3 linked regions of the Oryzias latipes genome follow. The protein of the gene in region 2 interacts with the protein of the main gene of each other region in a pairwise test. Links are inferred from orthologs where the notes say so. Each region holds a gene or a part of one and is shown on either strand. Other genes may lie near its edges.

Region 1 (4,139 bases), on a different chromosome or scaffold from region 2:
ATGTTTTTACTGTTTCAACAAAGGTGCTCCGTCATTTCGTATGAAGCTCCGCCCATTCACTCCAGAAACGTGGAGGCCATAAAACAAGTATTTGTTCACAGTGGTGAGTTTACATAACCTGCTTCCACACGGACTAGCTAGCTGCCGAAGATCAACTTGAGTCCTACTGAACATGCTCAGACTGGACAGCTCACCTGTCATGTTCTCGTCTAATTGCAGAGACACGCCCACATCGCAGATCTTCACGCTCTCAAAGTCTCCTTTAATGACCACGTTGCAGGACTTCATGTCGCCGTGCAGCAGCTTCTTCTCGTTGTGGAGGTACTGAAACAGGGAAATCGTGAAGTTCTGCAGGAGCACGCAGAAAAAAGGAGGCGGGGTCTCACCTGCAGGCCGCGCGCCACATGCAGGGCCACCTTCTCGATGTTGGCGGCGGGGAAGGCCTTGAGACCCTGCTCCCTCCTCTGCTCGATGAGGTCGTTGAGTGACCGCTCCCCGCCGTACTCCATCACCAAACACTCGGAGCCGTCTTTGGCGGTGGCCACGGCGCGAAAACCTGCAGAGGGAACAGACCGTGCAGGAGCATCCTGTCGTCAGACCCCCCCCCCCACGTTTGACCGTCTATCGCCTCCTTACCGATGATGTTGGGATGGTCGATTCCTCGCAGGAGGCGGGCCTCTTCCTTCAGACGGTTCTGGTAAACGGCAGCCTGTTTGGATTCACATTTGCTGTTGATCTTCTTCACTGCCCACGGAGACGCGTTCATCTGCTCCTCTCTGGGGGAGGACGGGACGTTCAGAGTCTTTACTGATCCACAGCCACACCCATAACCCCTAGAATTCCCTAAAAGCCATCCATCCATCAGAAAAACATCAGAAGCTGTGACCTTTTCCTGTGCCTGAGTGAAAGCGTGGGTTTGAGAGCCGGACAAGCCGTTCTTGGCTGGACCGAAAGCCTCTGCCCCACCCATCATGACGCATCAAGCTCTTGATCAACCAACAGATTATCATCAACGCCACACTGAAGGGAAACCGCTGTCAAGACTTCAGGAGGTTCTAGAGCATCCGTCTGTCCCCGACAAACATCTGACAGCAGACGCTTCCAGACGTTCTGAAGCACAAAGAAGTGATGAGAAAAGTGGACGCAGTGGTTGAAGAAGCAGACATCAGTGAAACCAAAAGACATCCAGCAGAACCATCAGTTCAGATCTGACAGTGAGACTAAAGTTCACCCGTCTGGAAAAGTCTGTCCTGAAGGACTGTCAGCCAAAAAAAACAACGTGGAGGCAAGTCAAGTCTGAAGGAAAACTGGAACTGCGGTGCCGTCAGAGGATGATCAGGACCGACGAGGCCAACGGTGAAATAACTGCAGAAGAAGACGGTTTGTCTTCTGGGTCCACAGGAGAAGACTGTTTCTTCTTCTGGGTCCACAGAAGAAGACGGTTTCTTCTTCTGGGTCCACAGAAGAAGACGGTTTGTCTTCAGGGTCCACAGAAGAAGACGGTTTGTCTTCTGGGTCCACAGGAGAAGACGGTTTCTACTTCTGGGTCCACAGGAGAAGACTGTTTCTTCTTCTGGGTCCACAGAAGAAGACGGTTTGTCTTCTGGATCCACAGGAGAAGACGGTTTGTCTTCTGGGTCCACAGGAGAAGACGGTTTGTCTTCTGGGTCCACAGGAGAAGACGGTTTCTTCTTCTGGGTCCACAGAAGAAGACGGTTTGTCTTCAGGGTCCACAGAAGAAGACGGTTTGTCTTCTGGGTCCACAGGAGAAGACGGTTTCTACTTCTGGGTCCACAGGAGAAGACGGTTTCTTCTTCTGGGTCCACAGAAGAAGACGGTTTGTCTTCTGGATCCACAGGAAAATACGGTTTGTCTTCTGGGTCTGGGATCACATGACGGCAGAAGGATGAGACAAAGCCTGTGTCCAGAGAAGCAGGATGTTTGGACCCGCAGAGTTCCTGTCAGGTCCTACATGAACTGATGAGGACTAATTTGGATTTGAATTCTGTTTCTCTTTTGTTCACACATTTTTATAGAGATTCTGTAGCATAATTCAAAATACAAGCCAAAACCTCAAGAAGAATTGATTTTTCATTTTTTTTATTTTTTAGTTAAAAAATGCAGCTTCATTTAGAAAATTTGTGGTTTTGGTTTTTATTTTTAATTATGCTACAGAATCGCTTCCATACTTTTTGTTGATTGATGAAAATAATGAATCCTTGTTTTCTCCCTGATCCACTAAACTCCACTTAAAAGATTTACTGACTGATTATTTGACTTAAACATAACTTTTAGATGTTTCCTTCAGATATTTTAACATGTAATGTTACATTCTATTTACATGTAATGACGTTCATCCTCTGAAGCAGGTCTAAGGAAGAACATGTTTCTATCTTCCTGACCCACTATGTCCCGGTCCCGGCTACCGTTGGACGAAGGCGGGGTACACCCCGGACAGGTACCGGAACACACACCTGTTCATCAGGTAGACGCTGACTCCGGTACCGCAGCCCAACTTCTTCATGAAGGGCGATGCCGGGATGGTGACGGGGGTTCCCCCCGAACTCCTGGTCCGGACGGTTTTTGGAGTTTTAAATCCGCCATTGGACGCCATTCTGTCGGTAAACGTTCTACCAGACCGGACTCTCAGCCTCTACCGGAAACCGGGGTCGGTTTTCTGGTAAAGAGGATGTCAGTGAAACGTTTCTACTAAAGAAAATCTCCGTTTTCAAATGTTCTTACTGGTTCCGCGGAGTAAACAAACCACCCGCCAAAACTTTCTTTTCCGGTTTGGTCCGGGCTCTTCTTCCGGTTGAGTCTTGTTGCCGATGCGTATTACCGCCACCTAGTGGTGGGGGTCGTATTGTCATTTAATCTATGAATCCCCTTAATCTATGGCAGGGGTCGGGAACCTTTTTTGTCGAGAGAGAGCCATAAACGCCACATATTTTTAAATGTAATTTTGAAAGAGCAATACAATAATGTAGTGTCCTTTTCCCACACTGAGGCACGGAGACTTAACCTCTTTTAAGGTTCTTTATTCTGGTTACTGCAGACCGCAGCAAACGCCGAACAATTAATTCAGCAACTCCTGAATCTCTCCCGCCGACACGAGAGCGCTTCTCCCAACTTTATATTCCCCTGCTCCCGCTCCAGTCCTCCCATTTCCCTTATTCGGCCCATAGCTGAACCCCATTGGTCCAAACTACCTGACAACAGGCTGAGCGACAGAACTGAGAGCCAATCAGATCTCTGCTTGATGCGTTTAATGAACTCCAGAACGTTTAACGCGGCCCAACAGCCAAGTTAAACTCAGTCCGCGACAATATGTTTAAAACTAAATATACAAGTGAATGTGTGCATTTGATTTAATTTCAACATTTTTAAAGTACAATAAGTCTGTGGATTCTTTTTAATAACATCGTTATGCTGTTGCTAATAAACGATGAGTATTTCTCTTGGTAGTTTTGCTGATGGTCTAGTCTGGTTGATACGTGGTGAGTTTCTGCTTCATGCAGGCGTTGAGACTTTAAACGTGATCGTAGGTCTGAATGTTCTGTAGATGTGAGACAGACTGATCACATGCAGACGGGGAGACAAACACACACTCACACACTGCAGTGAGTGACGGGCAGCGGGTTTTACGTTTTTACAATCCCAGCGCGATTCACCTGCTGCCCTCACAACCCCCCCACCCTCTGCTTTCTTCCTCACACATCCCGTCCCCGCAACTGCGCGCTCTTTCTCAGAGACGGGAGCGCGCAGTTTTGGGCACGGCAATTCACAGGTTTCCGGGTGCACCCGGAAACCTGTGAATTGAATTGAAATAATAGATAATAGTAACTGATAGCGCTGGCGCTGAATTTTTCTCTCCAAGCACCGCTACTACTGCGCGCCTCTGGCATCGCATCGCGCCCGAGAAGGACTGGTCTAATGAAAAAAAAAAAAACTATAATTAAAGATTTGTCTGCGAGCCACATGTGACCATCAAAAGAGTCATATATGGATCGCGAGCCATAGGTTCCCGACCCCTGGTCTATGGTAATCATTGTCTTCCTCAAGAAAGATGTCATTTATCCCTTGTGCTGTCTTAGATGACCCCTCCCTTCCATTGACGTGTTCTCCCTACCATGACAAAG
Region 2 (3,998 bases):
ATACGAAAGGACAAACAATATAAATGGGTGGTAGTTACAAGACTAAAGAGATATTGCTAAAAAGTTGCTGTAAGACAACCAGAAATTGCATGGGAACCGTGAAGATCGACTGTTGCACCTCCAAGATTCCGGTGTAGCAGGACAAGAACAATGACTCTGCAACTCTCCCACTGGAAACCACACCCACACTCAGCTCTGCCTGGCCTTCATGGAGCAGGAATTGATCGCGAAGGAAGTCTGAAGATGCTGCAAGCACCACTCTGTGACCGTGGAAATGGACAGGCAGGCCATCCTTTGGAGTCCCGACGTGGAGAGTTATGTCACAGAATTGATGTTCCTCTCTTAAAACATTCATTTTGCTAAGGATGGAGTCTCCGTAGGTGGGGAAACTGAAGTGCAGGGTATCAGAGGAGGTTGCCATGGTTCTTTGGGATGTCAAGATATCAACGAAAAGGGTCGATTTACCTTTATGACATGTTGACACTTTAATTTAGACTAAGGTTTTTCTTGATGTAAATATTGAGCTATAGCACGCTTTGACATGCAAAACAAAAATTCCAGCATTCAAAATTAAAAATAATTTTTACTCTTTATATCCATGAATAGGATGCAGACTTACCATCAAATGTGGAACCATCCAGATCCAATTTTCCCAAAGAAGAATCCCTTTTTCTTTTTTTTTTCTTTTTCAAATAAGTAGGTATCTGGTATTCAACACTGCAGTCCCCCAGTACAAGACAGTTATTCCATTAGTATCGACTAGTAGAGGAACTATAATGTTTCATACAGTAGGAGCCAGTATGAAATGCTGCAGGGAATGGAGCAGAGAATGTGGAACTGATCAGCAAAAAAAGATGCAATGCTAAAACAAACCACGTGATGGCGGTATAGCCTCTTCCCCTGAATGTGAGACAGCGGTCATTCTCACAAATGAAAGAGACAGAGATGACTGGGTTTCAATTCTTAGGGAAACCGCACAAACTTTGCCCAGTGACAAGCATGGAAATGATTTTTACTTATCATAAGGTAGAGAGGGGAATTCAAATGAAACATTTTTTTTCAATGTATGTACCCTAATCAATGCAATGACCAGTACAATCCTTTATGCTTTACATTAAAGGCTGCTTGTCGATTGATCTATGTGGATGTCAAATGCTGCATTTTAATTTGGGATCTTTTTTTTTTAAATTTCCTTAAAAAAGGACGCCTTTCTTTACGCAGAACTGGCAGAAGGAAAATAAAGTCCCAACTGACTGGTCTTAGTGTTTTGTGGATAGATAAAAACTAACTAACATTTATGATTATATTGTGCAAAATATCTGCCTTTTTTGTTTTGTTTTTAGTCTTACAGGGTTTTGAAGGAATAAAAAAGTTGAAGACAGTGACTGGAGCTTTGCCTGCAAACAGAAAAAAACCTCTTTCTGAACATGTGAAGCCTTTATGGCTAATCGTAAAATGCACTTCAGATTCCAGTGGGGATTTGATTCAATTATTGAAGCTACTGGTCCATATCTGCAGGCATACACTGTGTGCATAAGCATTAGAGAGGTAACATTTTGACCATATAAATATTGTAAGCACAATTGCCAACATCAAGCCATGTAAACTTGAATGCATATTGGAATTAATGCATATCAACTGATACGCATTTATGTAAGGAGAGAGGGCGTGGCAGAGGAAGATCAAAATCCTACATAAGGACATGCAGGTAAAATGGGCCTTAAGAGAGATTTAACTGATTCTGACAGATCAGAAAATGTAAAAAGTCTTTAAGAGGGATGAAGAATCCAAGATACTGGGGGTGTGACCGCAGAACTAAGTGTTATGTAGCAAATTGTCAACGAGGACGCAAGAAACGTGTGAAACTTCCAAAGATTTGAGAAGAATCAAGCGTGCAGCTGGCAGGAAGCCTTTATTCACCCGTGCTGCTATGTTCCACAACTGCAACCGACCTGGAGTATCAAGAAGTCCGAGATGTTCCGTTCTCAGGGTCATGGCTAAAGTAAGAAAAGCTGAAACCTGACCACCTCTCAACAGGATGCACAAGTTGAAATGTCAAGAATGGGCCAAGAAATATCTAAAGACAGACTTTTCAAAGGTTTTGTGGACTGATGAGATGAGAGTGACTCTTGATGGACCAGATAGATGAACCCGTAGTTGGATCAGTAATGGACACAGAGCTCCACTTCGACTTAGACGCCAGCAAGGTGGAGGTGGGGGGCTGGTGTGGGCAGGTATTATTAAAAATAAGCTAGTTGGACCTTTTCAAATTGAAAATGGACTTAAGATCAACTCTCAGACCTACTGCCAATTTATGGAAGTCTCTTTCTTCAAGCAGTGGTACAGGAAACAGTCTGCATCTTTCAAGAAGACACTCGTTTTTATGCAAGACATGAAAACCTCATGACATGGCCCCCTTCTTCACCTGACCTAACCCCTATTGAGAATTTTTGGGCCTTTTTTAAGTGGGTACACCTCTCTAAACCGTGGCTGGACAAAAAGTTGATCCCGAGCAGATCAAGAAACTGACAGACTCCATGAATGGAAGGCTTGTGTCTGTCATTGAAAAAAAGGCAGCTACATTGGTCACTGAGGTTTTCCTTTTCACATTTCAGAAAGGTTTATATGTATTTTTTTCTTAGTTTAGTTGTCATTCTAACTTTAAGAGGTTAAAATAAACAAGTGAGATGGGAAAATCTTTGTTTTTCATTGAGTTGCATAATAATTCTGCACACTGTTAGTTGCCTAATGATGGAGTAAATTTAGTTATCCTTTAAGAAAGCCATAACTTCACTTTTACTACTTGAATATGTAAGTTTAAGGGTTTGTTCAATTCAATTCAATTTTATTTGTATAGCCCAAAATCACAACAACAGTCGTCTCGATGGGCTTCGAAGTAAAACATGAAATCAAAAGGATCACGAATACAAAGAGTTCAATAGAAAAATACTAAAATGAACTAACAAACTGACTAAGCTATACTGGCATCCCTGCCCTTAGACCCCCCTTCGCGGTAAGGAAAAACTCCCAAAAAAAACGGATTCCGGAAAAAACGAAGAAACCTCAGGGGTGCCCACATGAAGGAGGGATCCTCCCCCAGGACGGACAGGCGATTTACCAGAAATCTTAGAGAAGAATTAACTTATCTAAATCTACAACTACATATATAAAAGTCCAGCAGACGAGCTTCATCCTGCCGTGGTTGTGGGGACAGTCAAAGGCGCGAGTCGAGCCGGAGACAGGAACCACAGCCAGGTGCAGGTACAGAGCAGAGACGAGCCAGAGATGAGCCAGAGGCAGGATCCACAGCCAGGTGTAGGAGCAGGAGCAAAGGCGAGGTAAACGATCAGGAACTGGAGCACGGATGAGCCAACTGGAGTCTGGAAGCACTCCCACTCCCCAGGAGGGGAGAGGAAAAGAGGGACAATACATGAATCGCACTGCACCAAACAGAGGGATGGAGAACTAAATGATAAATTATGATCAAGAATAGAGGAGAGGAAGGGTAGAAATAAAAACAGGAAAGAGGACAGAACCCCAGTGCACCATAGTTACCCCAGCTTCAACTTCTAGCAGCCTTTTAAAAGAAATAGTTATTATTAAGTTTAATTTAAACAAATTAACATTAAGTTAAATAATCTCTGAATACTAACTAGTCTGACAATAAGCCTGTCCAAAGAGGAATGTTTTCAGTCTAGCTTTGAATGTAGAAACTGAGTCGGCCTCTCTTACATGAGCTGGGAGTTTATTCCATAAGACAGGGGCTTGGTGGCTAAACGCTCTACCTCCAACCGTACTTTTACTAATTCTAGGAACCACAAGCAGTCCTGCATTTTGGGAGCGAAGTGTTCTGATTGGATGGTAAGGGACTATGAGGTCCTTAATATAGGACGGGGCCATTCCATGTAAGGCCTTATAGGTTAACAGGAGGATCTTGAACTTGATCCTGGAATCAACTGGGAGCCAATGGAGCGAAACTAACACAGGAGTGATGTGAT
Region 3 (3,835 bases), on a different chromosome or scaffold from region 2:
TCAAAGTTAGAATATTGAAGATTACATCAAATCAAACTTTATTTATATAGCTCTTTTCCTACAAAAGCACAACCGAACGTGCTTTGCACCAATACAAAATAAATAAATAATATAAAAACAAACACGAAAACTATATATACATTTAAAAAACGCCTCTCTCACCCTCCGCGGGTGGTTTCTCCTCCAAGCTCGGGTCCTCTACCAGAGGCCTGGGAGCTTGAGGGTCCTGCAGTATCTTAGCTGTTCCTAGCACTGCGCTTTTCTGGACTGAGAGGTCTGAGGTCTTTCCAGGGATCTGTTGTAGCCACTCCTCCAGCTTGGGGGTTACTGCCCCGAGTGCTCCAATTACCACAGGCACCACTGTCACATTCACTTTCCATGCTTTCTCCAGTTCTTCTCTGAGTCCCTGGTATTTCTCCAGTTTCTCATGTTCCTTCTTCCTGATGTTCCCATCGCTTGGCACTGCCACATCCACCACAACGGCTTTCCTCTGTTCTTTATCCACCACTACAATGTCTGGTTGGTTCGCCATTACCATCCTATCAGTCTGGATCTGGAAGTCCCACAGGATTTTTGCCCTCTCATTCTCTACCACCTTCGGAGGTGTTTCCCATTTTGACCTTGGGGTTTCCAGTCCATATTCTGCACACATGTTCCTGTATATTATTCCAGCTGCTTGATTGTGGTGCTCCATGTATGCTTTCCCTGCCAGCATCTTACACCCTGCAGTTATGTGCTGGATTGTTTCAGGCGCTTATTTGCACAGCCTACACCTTGGGTCTTGTCTGGTGTGGTAGATCTGAGCCTCTATTGCTCTGGTGCTCAGGGCTTGTTCCTGAGCTGCCAGGAGGAGCGCATCAGTGCTGTCCTGTAGGCCAGCCCTCTCTAGCCATTGGTAGGACTTCTTGATATCAGCCACTTCAGTTATGGTCCGGTGGTACGTCCCATGCAGGGGTTTGTCTTCCCATGAGGATCTGTCCTCCAGCACTGTATCCTCTGCTCTCCATTGCCTGAGACATTCACTGAGCACACTGTCGGCTGTCGACTGTTTCATCCTCTCTCTCTCTCTCTCTCTCTCTCTCTCTCTCTCTCTCTCTCTCTCTCTCTCTCTCTCTCTCTCTCTCTCTCTATATATATATAGTTATTTATTAAATTATCATAAAATGCTATTTTTTAAGCCCATGTTAAAAATATATAAATTTAATCTAAACATATATATTGCATTTGAATATTGAACAGGAGTAAAGACTTCATAATACTGGAAAAGGCAAGGTTTTTGTATGAGTGTGTGTGTGTGTGTGCGCGCGCGCGCTTTTCTTATGGAGACAATCCGCTACAAAACAAATTCCTTCACGCGACTTTTATTTTGAACAGCCCTGCGTCACTTCCGTTTGATGTCGCATTCCTCACAACATAAAGCAAGAGCCACCGCTAAAAGCTAACGCTACACCTTGAAGGGATTCCCTCCCCCTCCCGCACACAGTCAGGATAAACATGTCAGACACGGTAAGAAAAAGAACGTTGAAGAGTTCGAATGATTTTCTGTCAACACTTTACTAAGAAATCGATAATGTGTTTGTTATGGACGCTGCCTCGTACGTGATTATCTAACAACATGCTAACCGTTAGCTGTTCTAGCTGCAGGCCTCTGACTGAACTTAGCGATTTTTTTTTACCCTCCACGTGAGCTTTTGTGTAGTTTTTTGAGATTTTTTTTTGGGGGGGGGGTCAGAACTGGTGCTGGCGGGACCGAACCCACACTCGTGTCTATGGTGGATGTTCTCTGTGTTCGTGGAACCCGCGGAGTAAACAGACGGGCCTTCCTCGAAAGCGTGCTAGCGGTCGCATCATGTAGCAATGTTTTGTGATGTTTCTGTCAGGAGACGAAACCTTCCAATCAGGACGGAGGCGACAAGAAAGATGGAGAGTACATCAAACTAAAAGTGATCGGTCAGGTAGGTTGTTTTTGTGTCTCTGCTTTTGTTGTCACTACTGTCTGCATTTAGAAATAAACCGTATTCTACTCCATTTCAAATAAAGTTATGGCACGTGGTGGTGTCTCTATTATTGTTTATAGAAGGCTATTATTTTTGGTCAATGATTCTGCCAATTCTTTATCATTTACAGATGTATTCGTTTTAATGCTGGAAGTTGTTATTGTTTTTGAGCTGCATCACCTTTTTGTGTGTGTCCGTTTCTGCCCACAGGACAGCAGTGAAATCCACTTCAAGGTGAAAATGACCACACATCTAAAGAAGCTGAAAGAGTCTTACAGCCAGAGACAGGTATGAAGAGGAAGACGCATCGCCACTTTTCCAATGACAGCCTTCGCAGATCCATCCAAATGCAGTTCCTTATGGTAGAACACGCCATTATTTAAAAAAAAGATAACTCTGATCATCTTTTGATCTATTGCAAAAAATAAAAAGTTCCTAGTGATTTTTATTTATTTTTTTGACACGCTCTCCCGCTAGCTTACTAAGACTCCCAAGCTAATATTAGCAGTGCAACAAAAATGGCGAGCAATATCGGAGCTATCCAGCTGCACAGTTTGGATCCGGATGCTCGGACGAGGAAAATAAAAAAAAGTTACACGAGTCTATTTGTCTGCAAGGGAGCCTTGTGGCTTGCCGTAGTAGCTTTGGAATCATACCTGCAACCTTTTTCCAACTAAGTTTAATTTTGTCTGCTCCTGATTCACAACGATTTTAAATATAAAAAAAAAATAACCCAATTTTAAATGTAATTTTAAGCTTAATTTTCTTTAACCCTTGTGCTATCCTAGGCCCTTTAACATTAGGAGTTGGGTCATCTAGACCCACTAGACAGTGCGCTTAACCTTTCTTCTTCAATGATTTGTGATCTTCACTGGTGTCCATGGATTACATGAAATCTTTCCACTTTTGTCATGGTAGGGAGAACACGTCAATGTAAGGGTGGGGTCATCTAAGATAGCATAAGGGTTACACCTAAAAGCTCGTCTATGTAATCGTTACTCGTGCTCCTAGCGCCTCGCGGCGGCGTTCAAGGAGAGCTGATTGAAGGAAAAATAAAAATCTCCTAATGGTCTAACAGCAGAGGATGACGTTTCTTTCAGGGAGTCCTGGCGAGCACGCTACGGTTTCTTTTTGAGGGACAGAGAATCGCAGATAACCAAACCCCAAAAGAGGTAAGCGACACTCGCAAGAGCGAAAACCAAGCACTAGTGGTCACTAAGGTTTGTGTTTTCTTCTGTTTTTTTATAGCTGGGCATGGAGGATGAGGACGTCATCGAAGTTTATCAAGAACAGACCGGCGGACTTTGGAATCATTAAAGCCACAATTTCTGATGTTTTTTTTTCTTCTTTTTTTTCCCCTTTTATTCATGTTTTTTATCATTTGGTTTTGTATGTATGTATGTATTTCTGTTAAGTTTCAAACCATCTGAATCAAAAAAGCAAAAGGACTCAATCAGGGCTTCCATGTGTGCGGTCGGGGAGGCGGACAGACCGAGGACTCGAACCTGTGGCTCTGCCGTCGGAGGACACTCTAAGATTTTTACCGGCAACCATTTCGCTTTCGTGTTTTAAATTTTTATTTTATCAACCTTGCTGGAATGATGTGCTTTTGCAGGAAAATGGTTTTTAGGAGCTTCTTCCTCCCCAAAATGTTTTTTAAAATTGTCTCATAGAGGAAATATGTCAGATGGCATTCTGGGTAAGTGCGGTTACAGAAACCGTAAAAAGAAACCGATCAGAAGCATACCAGAGCGGCATGCTTCTGATCTTTCCATCTATTCAAAACAAAAAAAGTTGTTTTCCTGGAACGGACCAAAGCGTCTGTCCAAATGAAGGGG

The links.
Region 1: the proteins of zinc finger and BTB domain-containing protein 26-like (region 2) and pbk interact in a two-hybrid assay, tested with the Homo sapiens proteins (2 studies listed by BioGRID and IntAct). The two-hybrid records come from large-scale screens. The link is inferred for Oryzias latipes from reciprocal best matches to the Homo sapiens genes ZBTB26 and PBK.
Region 3: the proteins of zinc finger and BTB domain-containing protein 26-like (region 2) and sumo1 interact in binary tests that used the Homo sapiens proteins (3 or more experiments, as listed by UniProt). The two-hybrid records come from large-scale screens. The link is inferred for Oryzias latipes from reciprocal best matches to the Homo sapiens genes ZBTB26 and SUMO1.

The regions. Positions count from the first base shown.
Region 1 is NC_019882.2:249,394-253,532, reverse strand, and holds the start of pbk (lymphokine-activated killer T-cell-originated protein kinase), read right to left. Parts: upstream 2,801-4,139; 5' UTR 2,615-2,800; coding exon 2,475-2,614; intron 777-2,474; coding exon 637-776; intron 557-636; coding exon 387-556; intron 325-386; coding exon 195-324; intron 1-194. UniProt on the Homo sapiens protein: Phosphorylates MAP kinase p38. Seems to be active only in mitosis. May also play a role in the activation of lymphoid cells.
Region 2 is NC_019870.2:15,290,255-15,294,252, reverse strand, and holds the start of zinc finger and BTB domain-containing protein 26-like, read right to left. Parts: upstream 2,801-3,998; 5' UTR 620-2,800; intron 426-619; 5' UTR 422-425; coding exon 119-421; intron 1-118. UniProt on the Homo sapiens protein: May be involved in transcriptional regulation.
Region 3 is NC_019860.2:9,899,752-9,903,586, reverse strand, and holds sumo1 (small ubiquitin-related modifier 1), read left to right. Parts: upstream 1-1,473; 5' UTR 1,474-1,494; coding exon 1,495-1,506; intron 1,507-1,880; coding exon 1,881-1,955; intron 1,956-2,207; coding exon 2,208-2,285; intron 2,286-3,097; coding exon 3,098-3,169; intron 3,170-3,245; coding exon 3,246-3,314; 3' UTR 3,315-3,335; downstream 3,336-3,835. UniProt on the Homo sapiens protein: Ubiquitin-like protein that can be covalently attached to proteins as a monomer or a lysine-linked polymer.